Neodiprion lecontei: one gene and its partner. The protein of the gene in region 1 purifies or fractionates together with the protein of each later gene. This does not show direct contact. Links are inferred from orthologs where the notes say so. Each region holds a gene or a part of one and is shown on either strand. Other genes may lie near its edges. The genes, in order: polyadenylate-binding protein 1 and eukaryotic translation initiation factor 4 gamma 1.

What was found.
Region 2: the proteins of polyadenylate-binding protein 1 (region 1) and eukaryotic translation initiation factor 4 gamma 1 purify together in Drosophila melanogaster (affinity purification with western blotting; 3 studies listed by BioGRID, with this or other methods). This does not show direct contact. The link is inferred for Neodiprion lecontei from reciprocal best matches to the Drosophila melanogaster genes pAbp and eIF4G1.

The regions. Positions count from the first base shown.
Region 1 is NC_060264.1:21,286,773-21,291,647, reverse strand, and holds the start of polyadenylate-binding protein 1, read right to left. Parts: upstream 3,248-4,875; 5' UTR 2,497-3,247; coding exon 2,292-2,496; intron 1-2,291. Other genes in the region: putative nuclease HARBI1, read right to left, coding at 4,839-4,875.
Region 2 is NC_060263.1:38,444,238-38,449,366, reverse strand, and holds the start of eukaryotic translation initiation factor 4 gamma 1, read left to right. Parts: upstream 1-1,917; 5' UTR 1,918-3,870; coding exon 3,871-4,258; intron 4,259-5,129.

The DNA of each region.
Region 1 (4,875 bases):
ATTGGAGAGTAATTTAAATAAACTGTAATCAGGGTAATTTTGATCAGTCAAGAAGGAGTGAAGAGATACTTCAAAAGAAATCACCCGTTATATTCCAGATGTTTGAAATAGGCTTGTAGAAAAACAAGGAAAACTTTCCAAGTTAAAAAATTAGTGCTGATACCATTGGAAATAAGAAATTAATCATCTATCAGACGTTCAAATGGCTAGGCATTAGTGCTTAATGAATAAGAAAAATAATAATAATAATAATACAAGATCCAAGGCGAAATGCGGAAAAGAAATAAAGGAAAAAACCTACGCATCTGTTCACACAGTGTGCGCAACTTATACATATGGAGCATTCCACATACAATTAGCCTGTACCTCAACCCCTTTGATTTTAATCATTTTCGAGTATGATATTCTTACCGACTCGAAAGGGTCTCCGAATTTTGTTCTCATTTTTGTAGCATAATTTTTTTTTCATAATATTGTAAAAAAAAAAATAAAATAATTAAAAAACCAATTCTAAGATCACCATTTTCAAAAATCTGAATAAATTCATAGATTCTATGATTGGAAATGTGATTTTTAAGTACCACACGAAAATCAATATATACTATTTTTGTCGAAAGGTCCTACAACTGATGACTGGGGTCTGAACACACCTCCAGGCGAACTTTGAACTGCGCTCAGCGCCACTATCGCTACATGGTTATCAGTTTTTGAATATATATATATATATATTAGACTGTATAAAAAAAATCGACTATTTTTTTTTTGAAATTGAAGCTGAAAATAGATGCTGTTTAAGTATCGGCTCTTAATATTAATATTCGGAGGAGCCTCATTGCAATTTTCCATTTCCCATTTAAATAACATTGGAATTTTTTTTTTAAACTTCAAAATTTTATGACTCATCAACGCATTAGTGTATTGATAAGACCAAAACGTATGTTTGGAAGGAATTGCATGCTTCACAAACAAAGGTCTGTTATCATTTTATGATAAATTTACTCTGACAAAAGTTATTTAATGTCAAAGGTCAATAAAGGACCTTATATATACTTACATTAACATATGCACACACAAACACATATACATGCATGTGTGTGTGTGTAACAATTTCGACATGGAAAAACTAAAAACTTGCGCAAAAAATAGTAAATATTGAGATCCCACTATCGTGTGATGCTTAAAAATCACATTTCAAATCATGGAATTTCTGTGAATTGTTTCAGATTTATAAAAATGGCTTTTTTGGAATTTATTTTGCAATTTTTCGTAAATATCACCAGTGGCTGTAGAAAATCAAAAAATTCCCGAAACTCTTTTGGATTGGTAAGAACATCACATAATAACTAAAAATGATTAAAATCGAAGGAAGTGAGATACGTTGGCTGCTAATTTAACGTGGAATGCCCCATATACATGTAACGTCTGTGGCATACACGAGTGGGTCACGTGACATATCCACCGGCGACCGTTCGAATTATTGTTATTCATTCCGCGACACGCATCAGGCATTTCTCTTCTTTCTTTCTCTCGGATTATTCTCCTCGTCGATATCAAGCCGTGTAGTCGCCAGCATGCGAAGTGATTGCTGAATTAAGCAGCACGCATAATTATATAAGGCACAAGCGGGATCCAGGGGCCATAGTACATCGCCATTCATTTCCTGCATTCTTGTTATGGCTTACGGAATTCAATCTGTATAAAACTCTACACTTCATGAACGAGAGTTCGCGATCGGATCTATTAATTTACCCGCAAAGTGTGGATAATTTTTTTCAATACTTAAATTGGAACCTCAGATAGAAAACTGCAATGCTAATTCCGCATTCTGCTTATGGCTTGTGGGATTCAGTCTGTAAAATTTTCATTCCGTCAGCACAGGTTTCGCAGTCCGGTATGCTCACGAAGTGTGAATTTTCGTGCATAATGAGACACTAGTGGCATAATTTCAGTTCTCTTGGACCGGTAAACGGTTGATAAACGTCATATTGACGAATCAGAAATGAGGACAGACCAGAAAAAATGGCGCAACGGCTGCTGCATCCTGCTCATGACTTATGGAATTCTATGTGCAGAGGCCGTAAGGAGGGAGAGTATAGGAGGTTAACAGGGAGGGAGGAATCGACGCCATTGTGGGAGACAGAATAAAATCCAATATGGCGGACGAAAACGACAGAATGCACGTGTCACGGCTTGGAAACGGGATGAGGACGCGAAATTTTCAGGAAATCTGGGACGGACGGATAGCCTCGTAGGTTCTACAAAACTACGAACAACAATCTAGCGTCAATTACCGAAATACTGACCGTCGGCTGGCTGCTGGAAGTTAACGTATGCGTAGCCAAGGGAGCGGCGAGTGATCATATCTCTGCACACGCGTATCGACAGCACTGGGCCTGCCGATGAAAATTTTTCAAACAGCATTGCTTCGGTTATATCCGAGTGCAGATCACCGACGTACAGCGATGCCATCGGATAATTAGGCGCTCCTGGATTCATTTCTGTTCACTTTCTTACTTATCACGATCGTACGATACTTCTCGCCTTCAATATGGCTTGTTATTTGCCCGTGTGATTTTTCCCCATGCAAATTCTCTCCAGACGTTTCTTTTCTTCCTTCTATCAGCAGCTGGTATCAATGATTTTTTCACCTTCTTCTATATGCTGTATCAAAACCAACAAGGATATTTATTAGGTGTCTTATTTTATTACCGACTTTTCTTGGCCTTGGTTAATCTTCTTGATTTTAATAAATTTAATTTCCTTCCTTTTGCGAATTTTGTATATTTTTAGATATTTTTAGATTTTCTTTTTCTTATAATAAAACGCAAATAATTGTCACACACACGTTGTCTTGTTTTATTTCCGTTTCCTTCTTCTTCTTGTTAACACCTTTATTGGCTTCTTCTTTTTTTTATTATTTTCAAATCTCTATTTTTCCCTTCTTCACACAACTTGATATATCAAGGTGTTTATATCTTTTTTTAATATCTTCACAAGTTTCGCGATTTTCACACTACGGTTTTACGATTTTTTTGTTTTTTATTTTTAAAGATTTTTTATAGATTTTTTTGGGGTGGGGGATGAGGATGAGGGTTTTTTTAGTAGTGGATTTTTTGTTTTTTTTGTATTTTATGTTTTTTTAATATAGAAGAGTTAATTCACGAATGGAGGTGGGTTGTGTGACCTATTTTTTTTAGGAAAAAGGAGACACAACCACACGTGAAAACAACTCTACTCTTAATGACGAAGAGGCAGTCAGGCCGTCCGCGTCACAGTTATATACGAAACCGTAGAACGCCATTTCCTACGCCGACAAGTAGTTCCCCGATACGCACAAACCTGGAATAGTACGGTATTCAACGGTAAAAATTTATCTCGATACAATTGTTAATGCAATTGGATTTGTTTTATCAGTTTTCCATCAACTCTACAAGCATCAATAAATATTTAATCCCATTTCAATCGACTCGCGTCGTATCCAAAATTCGTCGCTATTGGCCACGCGACTGTTACGCGCTTGTTTTCAGGTACTATTTTCATTTTCACCGGACGCTGTATGCTTGCGGCGCGGAGATAATTACAGTTTCCTACGCCTACCGACTTGATAAATGAATTCGGAATCATGGTGAAAATTCAGTCAATAAATGAAAAACATTGTAATTTCCATCGTATCTGCTATATCAGCGAAAATTCGCCACATTAAATAGGCTGTTGAAGAAATTGTCCGATAAGTTGTAGCCACCCTCAGTAATCTTCAGGCAGCTCACAGCTGTCGCGTCTAGTTAGGCATCGGAATTCACAGCAGTCATGAACTACGCAGTGACGCAAGAATGTCTGTTAAAGGTGTTCCACAACACCACGGCGAGAAAAAGAAATACCAAAATGGCAAAAAAAAGCAAACGGAATCTAAGGCCCGTATTCATAGTCAGGTCTCAAGGCGGTGCTTAAGACCGTCTTGGTGAAGATCGTCTTATTCGTTCAAGACCGTCTTGAGATGCTATGTATTCATAGTCGGAAAACAAGACGGTCTTCGTCAAGAATTTGGTCTCAAGCGCTAGCTTATTTCATTCAAGACCGTCTTGACGAAGACTGAGCTTGAGACGGTCTTATTCGACGTTCGGTTATGTTCGGAATATTTCCGATGTATCCCCCAATAAGATGCTCGGATTTTATTTCTCAGCCTGTGCAAGATATTCGTATAGGCATGCAGCTCTTGAGTATTTTTATAGTTTATGAACACAACAACGTTAGCGCCACGTAGAGGAACTAAAAAACGGGAACAAATCGCGTACAATTTTTTGTAGTGGGTGTATAGCTATAAAACGAAGAAGAAGAAAAAGAATTTTATAGTGTATGTTTATGTGTATATAATTTTTATATACACATATTTTAACCTATATCATTATGTAAATCTCTATACCGGTTATTGATAAATAAATTGTATTGATATGTTAAAAGGAATCCCGGTGCAGACTTGCAAAAAAATGCGCGTGAAAGGGACAACCTTTGATCTTCAAAGTTCAAAAGAGCAACTTTAGTTCTATTTACTGGCTGTATTTATAATGTATTGAATATTTTTACGTAGACAAATTTTCATAAGTATTATCGTAACTATAAGACTGACGCTTAGTACAATTACGTACATATCAGTATTTTCATGAGTAAGTGAGGGGTTTAAAAATAAAATGAGAACCAATGATAAGTTATGAGTAAAATATGTATTCTAATGTTAACTGTTTGTACAGATTAAATTCAATTTTATTAAATATTTGGAGTATATTCATTCTAAAATCAATTAGTCTTTACAATTAAATTAACTTGATATACATATATTTTGATTAAATGAATAACCGTTCGATTAGAGCTTCGCGTATT
Region 2 (5,129 bases), on another chromosome or scaffold:
CTTGTTATTGTTTTTGGCTTATAGCAAATCTAGTGAATCTCGACGTTATGTCAATTCTTGTGATTATGCATGACATTGCCTTCGGTGATGAGTAGAAGTCGAAATTTTAAGACATGAAAAGAAACATGACAAGGTTCTTAGTCGCTATGTTACACCATGCCTTTGGATGTTTTGCAATTTAAAAAACAAAAAAAAAGTAAGTAAATAAACAAAACAAAAAAAAAGACTCAGCTGATGACGAGAGTTCGTTCATCGTGCGATCTTGAGACAATCGGGCATCTGTTCGAAGGCTTGAGTGCAAATTCTTGACGACCTAGTTGAATTATACGCAACGATTGTTCGATTCAAAAGGATGCTGATAATTTTACACATTGGCATTATACAGACATCTTTTTTAGAATTCATTACGTTCTACTGCAAGGAATGGTGAAAATTATCCTTGTTATTATTCTGGTGTTATACTACACTATGATGGTGAAATATGCATACAGCATTGTAGCATAATTCTCTGAAGAGACTAATTAAGTGGCGTTTTGTTCGGCGGCACCGGAACGAGTAACAATATAAATGTATTTAGGTCACAATCTCCTTGTTAAACCTAAATTACGTTAAGCTAAATATATAACATGCGATGATACGGCAGATATTGAACGATTCTAAAAATAAAATTACGTATTTGGTGGCTCCGTACCAGAATAAATTCTATTTCGCTAGTTTCGCTTCTCCCTCGACCTCCTGTAGTATGGATATTATGTTTTATCTGCTCTAATCTCAAACAGCAAACGCTACGTGAAAACTTAGAACCCATCGGCTTTGGGAGTGTTGGTCAACAGGTCGGATGCCAACCGATACTGAAAAATGAGACTGCTTAGAAGTTTTTTTTTTTTTTTGGTAAAATTTTAAACAGCCTTTCTTATCGTCTGAAACAATAATAATCTATACCATTACGTGTACCGGAATTGAATATATAATATTTAGCTGGCACAATATACCTGTAATAATCGTTAATTATTTCTGGAATCAAATAATCCCCGCGGTAAAAGCCTTGACGTAGAATGAAAAGAATTTCATTATAGCTGTAATAGTTGACAGCGCGTCATGCGACTCGGGAATGAAAAAAGAAGGTGACGAAAAAGATCCCTCGCGGCATTGGGTAAAACAGGAATCTGCAATTGAACTTTTAATTTCAAATCTCTGTTCTACCGTCGTTCGGTTTATTTTGTAAAAATCGCTCACGCGTGATTCTAAAGAGCATAAAAAATATTTCCTCAACAAAAACCAATTTGACAGGGTAACGTTAACCGTTGAAAATAGCTTGGAAGTTTTTTGAAAATCGAACGTGTACGTTATCATCGACCATACGGTGGCAGTCGGCGGCGTGAGCTTAGACAAACTTGGTTAGCGTGCACAGAGTATAGAGTTGCAGGTATGTACACGCATGCATACAACACAATGTACGACGCGTGCACGGCGTCGGCGTGGCTCGTTGACGATAGTGAGAGATAGAGAGAGAGAGAGAGAGAGAGAGATAGAGAGTGGGGGTAGAAACACTTGACAAATGTTTCTCGGCGACGAATCGTAACGCGAGATTAAACCGAGCGTTTACGAAGTTTGACGAAAATTTCCGAAGTTTGGCGAATCGCTGCAGTGCGTGACCGTTGAGAGAGAGAGGTTCGTTTTGGTGACGCATGCGCCTTACGCGAACTCTTGCCATCTCCCTCTCCTTCTCACTCTCCGAACTTGTCTCGCACACATGAACATCGGCTAAGGTTTCACGAACGTGGGTCGAAACGGCCGACGCGGCATGCGCCTGGGTTCCCGGATCGTCGTTGTGTCAGCCTAGAAATACAACGTGGTGATTCGACGACGCGAATTCTTAGTGTGGGTGAAACTAGCGGCGGTGTAGAGGGGGTCGGGGTCTGCCCTGCATCAGTCTCTACTGCGTCCCTTCGAAAGGGGACGCTCCTCCTCGTCTTTGACAAGCGCGCGGTTAAAATACCCAATGGGGGGTTGACAGTTATCAAGGAAACTGATAGTAATATAATAAATAAATAAATTATAACTAACACGGACACACGAGTACGGATTTTTTCTAAACGACCATTTTAATCAACATATAATTCGTACGATATTGGTTACAATTTTTTAAAAAGTATACTTCGAAACCGCGATCCGAGACAGAATAATACCAAGATATATGTTTACACGTGTATGTATTGCTCTTCGTCGCAAGATCGTCCATCGGTTTTCCTAGGACACGAAACTATAGAAAAGACCGTTTGTTCCGTTGTATATTTTCAACTTTTTTTTAACGTAATTATTTTATTTGGACAATTGATTGTATTAAGTAATATTGTGCCATAATTCGCGTGTGTGTTGTCACTGTGGATTGATGAAAGTTCTCTTTTTTCATTCCCCCGCCACTTGACCGTTTCGTTTTTCCTTTTTTTTACGGTAATGTAAAAATTGAATCAGAACAAAAACTGTAGAAGATCTGAGACATCGAAACGAAAACTTTGAGGAAGAAAACGTCGAGGGTCGATTGATTCAGTGTGCTGTTTTTTTTTCATTGATGTTGTTGTTTATTTGACAATAAGTGACGTTTGGAAACGTTGGGTCTTTTTGTTGTCTCTTTTTTGTTTTAGCTCAAATTACGGTTAGTTTTCCTTTCTTCTTTCTTCTCGTTACACACAGCGCGAACGACGAGAAGCCGTACGTTGATTATTATTTACCAAGATTTTAAAACCAATTTGGAAAATATTATATGTAAACGAACACTGTATCTAGTTTATTAGTTTTATTTAACTACTGTTCGTGAAACGGGATACGACAACGACTACGAGGACGTGAAAATAAAAATTTTGTTGTATCGAGTGTTCTGCGGACGCCACAAAGCAGCGGCTCTAGTCCTAAATATCGATCTGCTGGCGTGTGCGACCTACTCTATAGTACGTTCGCCTCGAAACATATTGTGGAATGACAGTTGACAACAGTCCAGCTGTCGCTATCATCGTACAATTGACATCTGTCAATAATCATTTGTTGACTTTTACGTTGAGGTTGACGACGAGGACGACAACGACAACGACAACAACAACAACAACGCCAACGCCAACGAGTCGAATAACCGATTCTCACCGTCGAATTCAACGACAACGAGCGAGAACGTGCATTTTTTGCTCCGCCGATAATCGAGGATACCTGTAAAATTACCAACGCTTTCGCCGTAACGTTGTTAACGGTGGAATTTTTTTGAAGACATTCCGTTTGTTTTCCATTTAGTTCTTTTTTTTGTTTTTACAAGAAGAACGTACGTCGAGAGTAAAAAAAAAAGGTCAAAAAAAAGGAAGTACAATACGAATAGAAAAAATGTGGGCGATAGTAAAAATCGGCAGGACTTTGCTCAGAGTTTCTTCGCGTTCGATAAAATCAAGTCAAAGCTTTATCGGAACTTAAAGAAGGAAAAGATTGAAGAAACAACGCAACGCAAGTCAACTATTATTGTGCTATTGTAGTACTACCGGCGAAGAAGACAAATGAATGAAAAATTCCAATAAAGTGTAACTCTAAATTTGAGGATAAAAAGAAGAAATCGAAAAATATAAATACGGAGGCGCAAGAATAATGATTCCCCGTCAAAACTTGGTGATAAAAAAAAATTAATTTGAAGAATATTACAACGATGAGAAAATCCACCTGAGAGGAAAACAATAAGGAAGACAATTCATTATAGAAATTGATCGTTTTTTATACACGTACCGTAACACGCTCCTATTAAGAATCAGTAAGAAGTAAGGAAGAAGCTCGTAAGCTTTTGAGACAATAAAGGTGTTTCTAGACGGCTAATATCTACCGTTAATTACCAACGTCATGGTTTCGCGATACGGTGTTACGAAGGAGGGTGCAGTCGGTGTTACGGTCGGCGTCGGGACGATGCACTGTTTGCTACCCCATTGCGGTGGGCCCCACCACATGTCACCACACGGGCATAACCCGAGCCACAATCACATTCACCACCATAACCATCACAATCATCACAACCACCACCCGCCGGCATCGCCGAGTCCTCACGGTCATCTAAGTCAGATGAATCACGCCCAACATCAGTTGACAATTAATATTAACCACAATCATCAGCTGCAGTCCCAGCAGACTCAGCATCAGCAGCAACAACAACAACAACAACAACAACAACAACAACAACAACAACAACAACAACAACAACAACCTCAGTACAGGATCATCACGGCCAGTGCCAGTAAGTCCTTATTATCAGTTACTGTCAACTCACCGAATACGTTGCCAGTTTTTAATTTTACCAAAGGTGTTGATAGGTGTTGATCACACAAATGTACAGTTATACGGACCTACACGAGATGATATATATATATATATAAAATGCATAATAGAGTGTGTGTGTGTGTATATATATATATATATATATACTCTATTATGCATTTTATCAGGCTTACTAAACTCGTACGTCAAGGTGGCAGTCACGTGGACCTCATGCAGTATTAATAGAATATTCATTTATTCATGATGTACATCTATTATCGGACTTTTTGATAAACGGTCGGTTCGAGGGTGGGGATAAATGAGATCGTGGATAGTGTATAATAACGTGTAGACGTTCGCCTAGGTACGTCTTTATTTCATCGCGACGACAACGACTATTGCGATGACACGCGTTTATCAAACACCTTAGCAACGACTGACTGACATACGTCGTCTTGCATACCATACTTTTACTCCTTGTTCCTTAGGCGCTAGCCTTGCTTGTGCCCACAAGGTGAGAAGAAAACCCTAGGTGTGATGTAACTAGCTGACCAACTAATTAACTAGCCAACCAATCACCTTACTAAATAGTAAACCCCTCTCCGCACTATGAAAGAGACATTGAGACAATAGCGAGACGTGACACGTTGCCTACCGCTGCCAGTGTTCCTCGTGTCATGCTGCATTTACTTACCTAACTTGGCACCATTCTCACAACAATTCCTCCGTCGTCAATTACAATGGATACTAATTTTAAATTAGCTTTGACCAAGTTCGAAATAGTCTACAAGTCCCCGGTGTCTGCATTTAAGATTGGTTGTAATAGATCTCACTGTCTAGTTGTATAATCG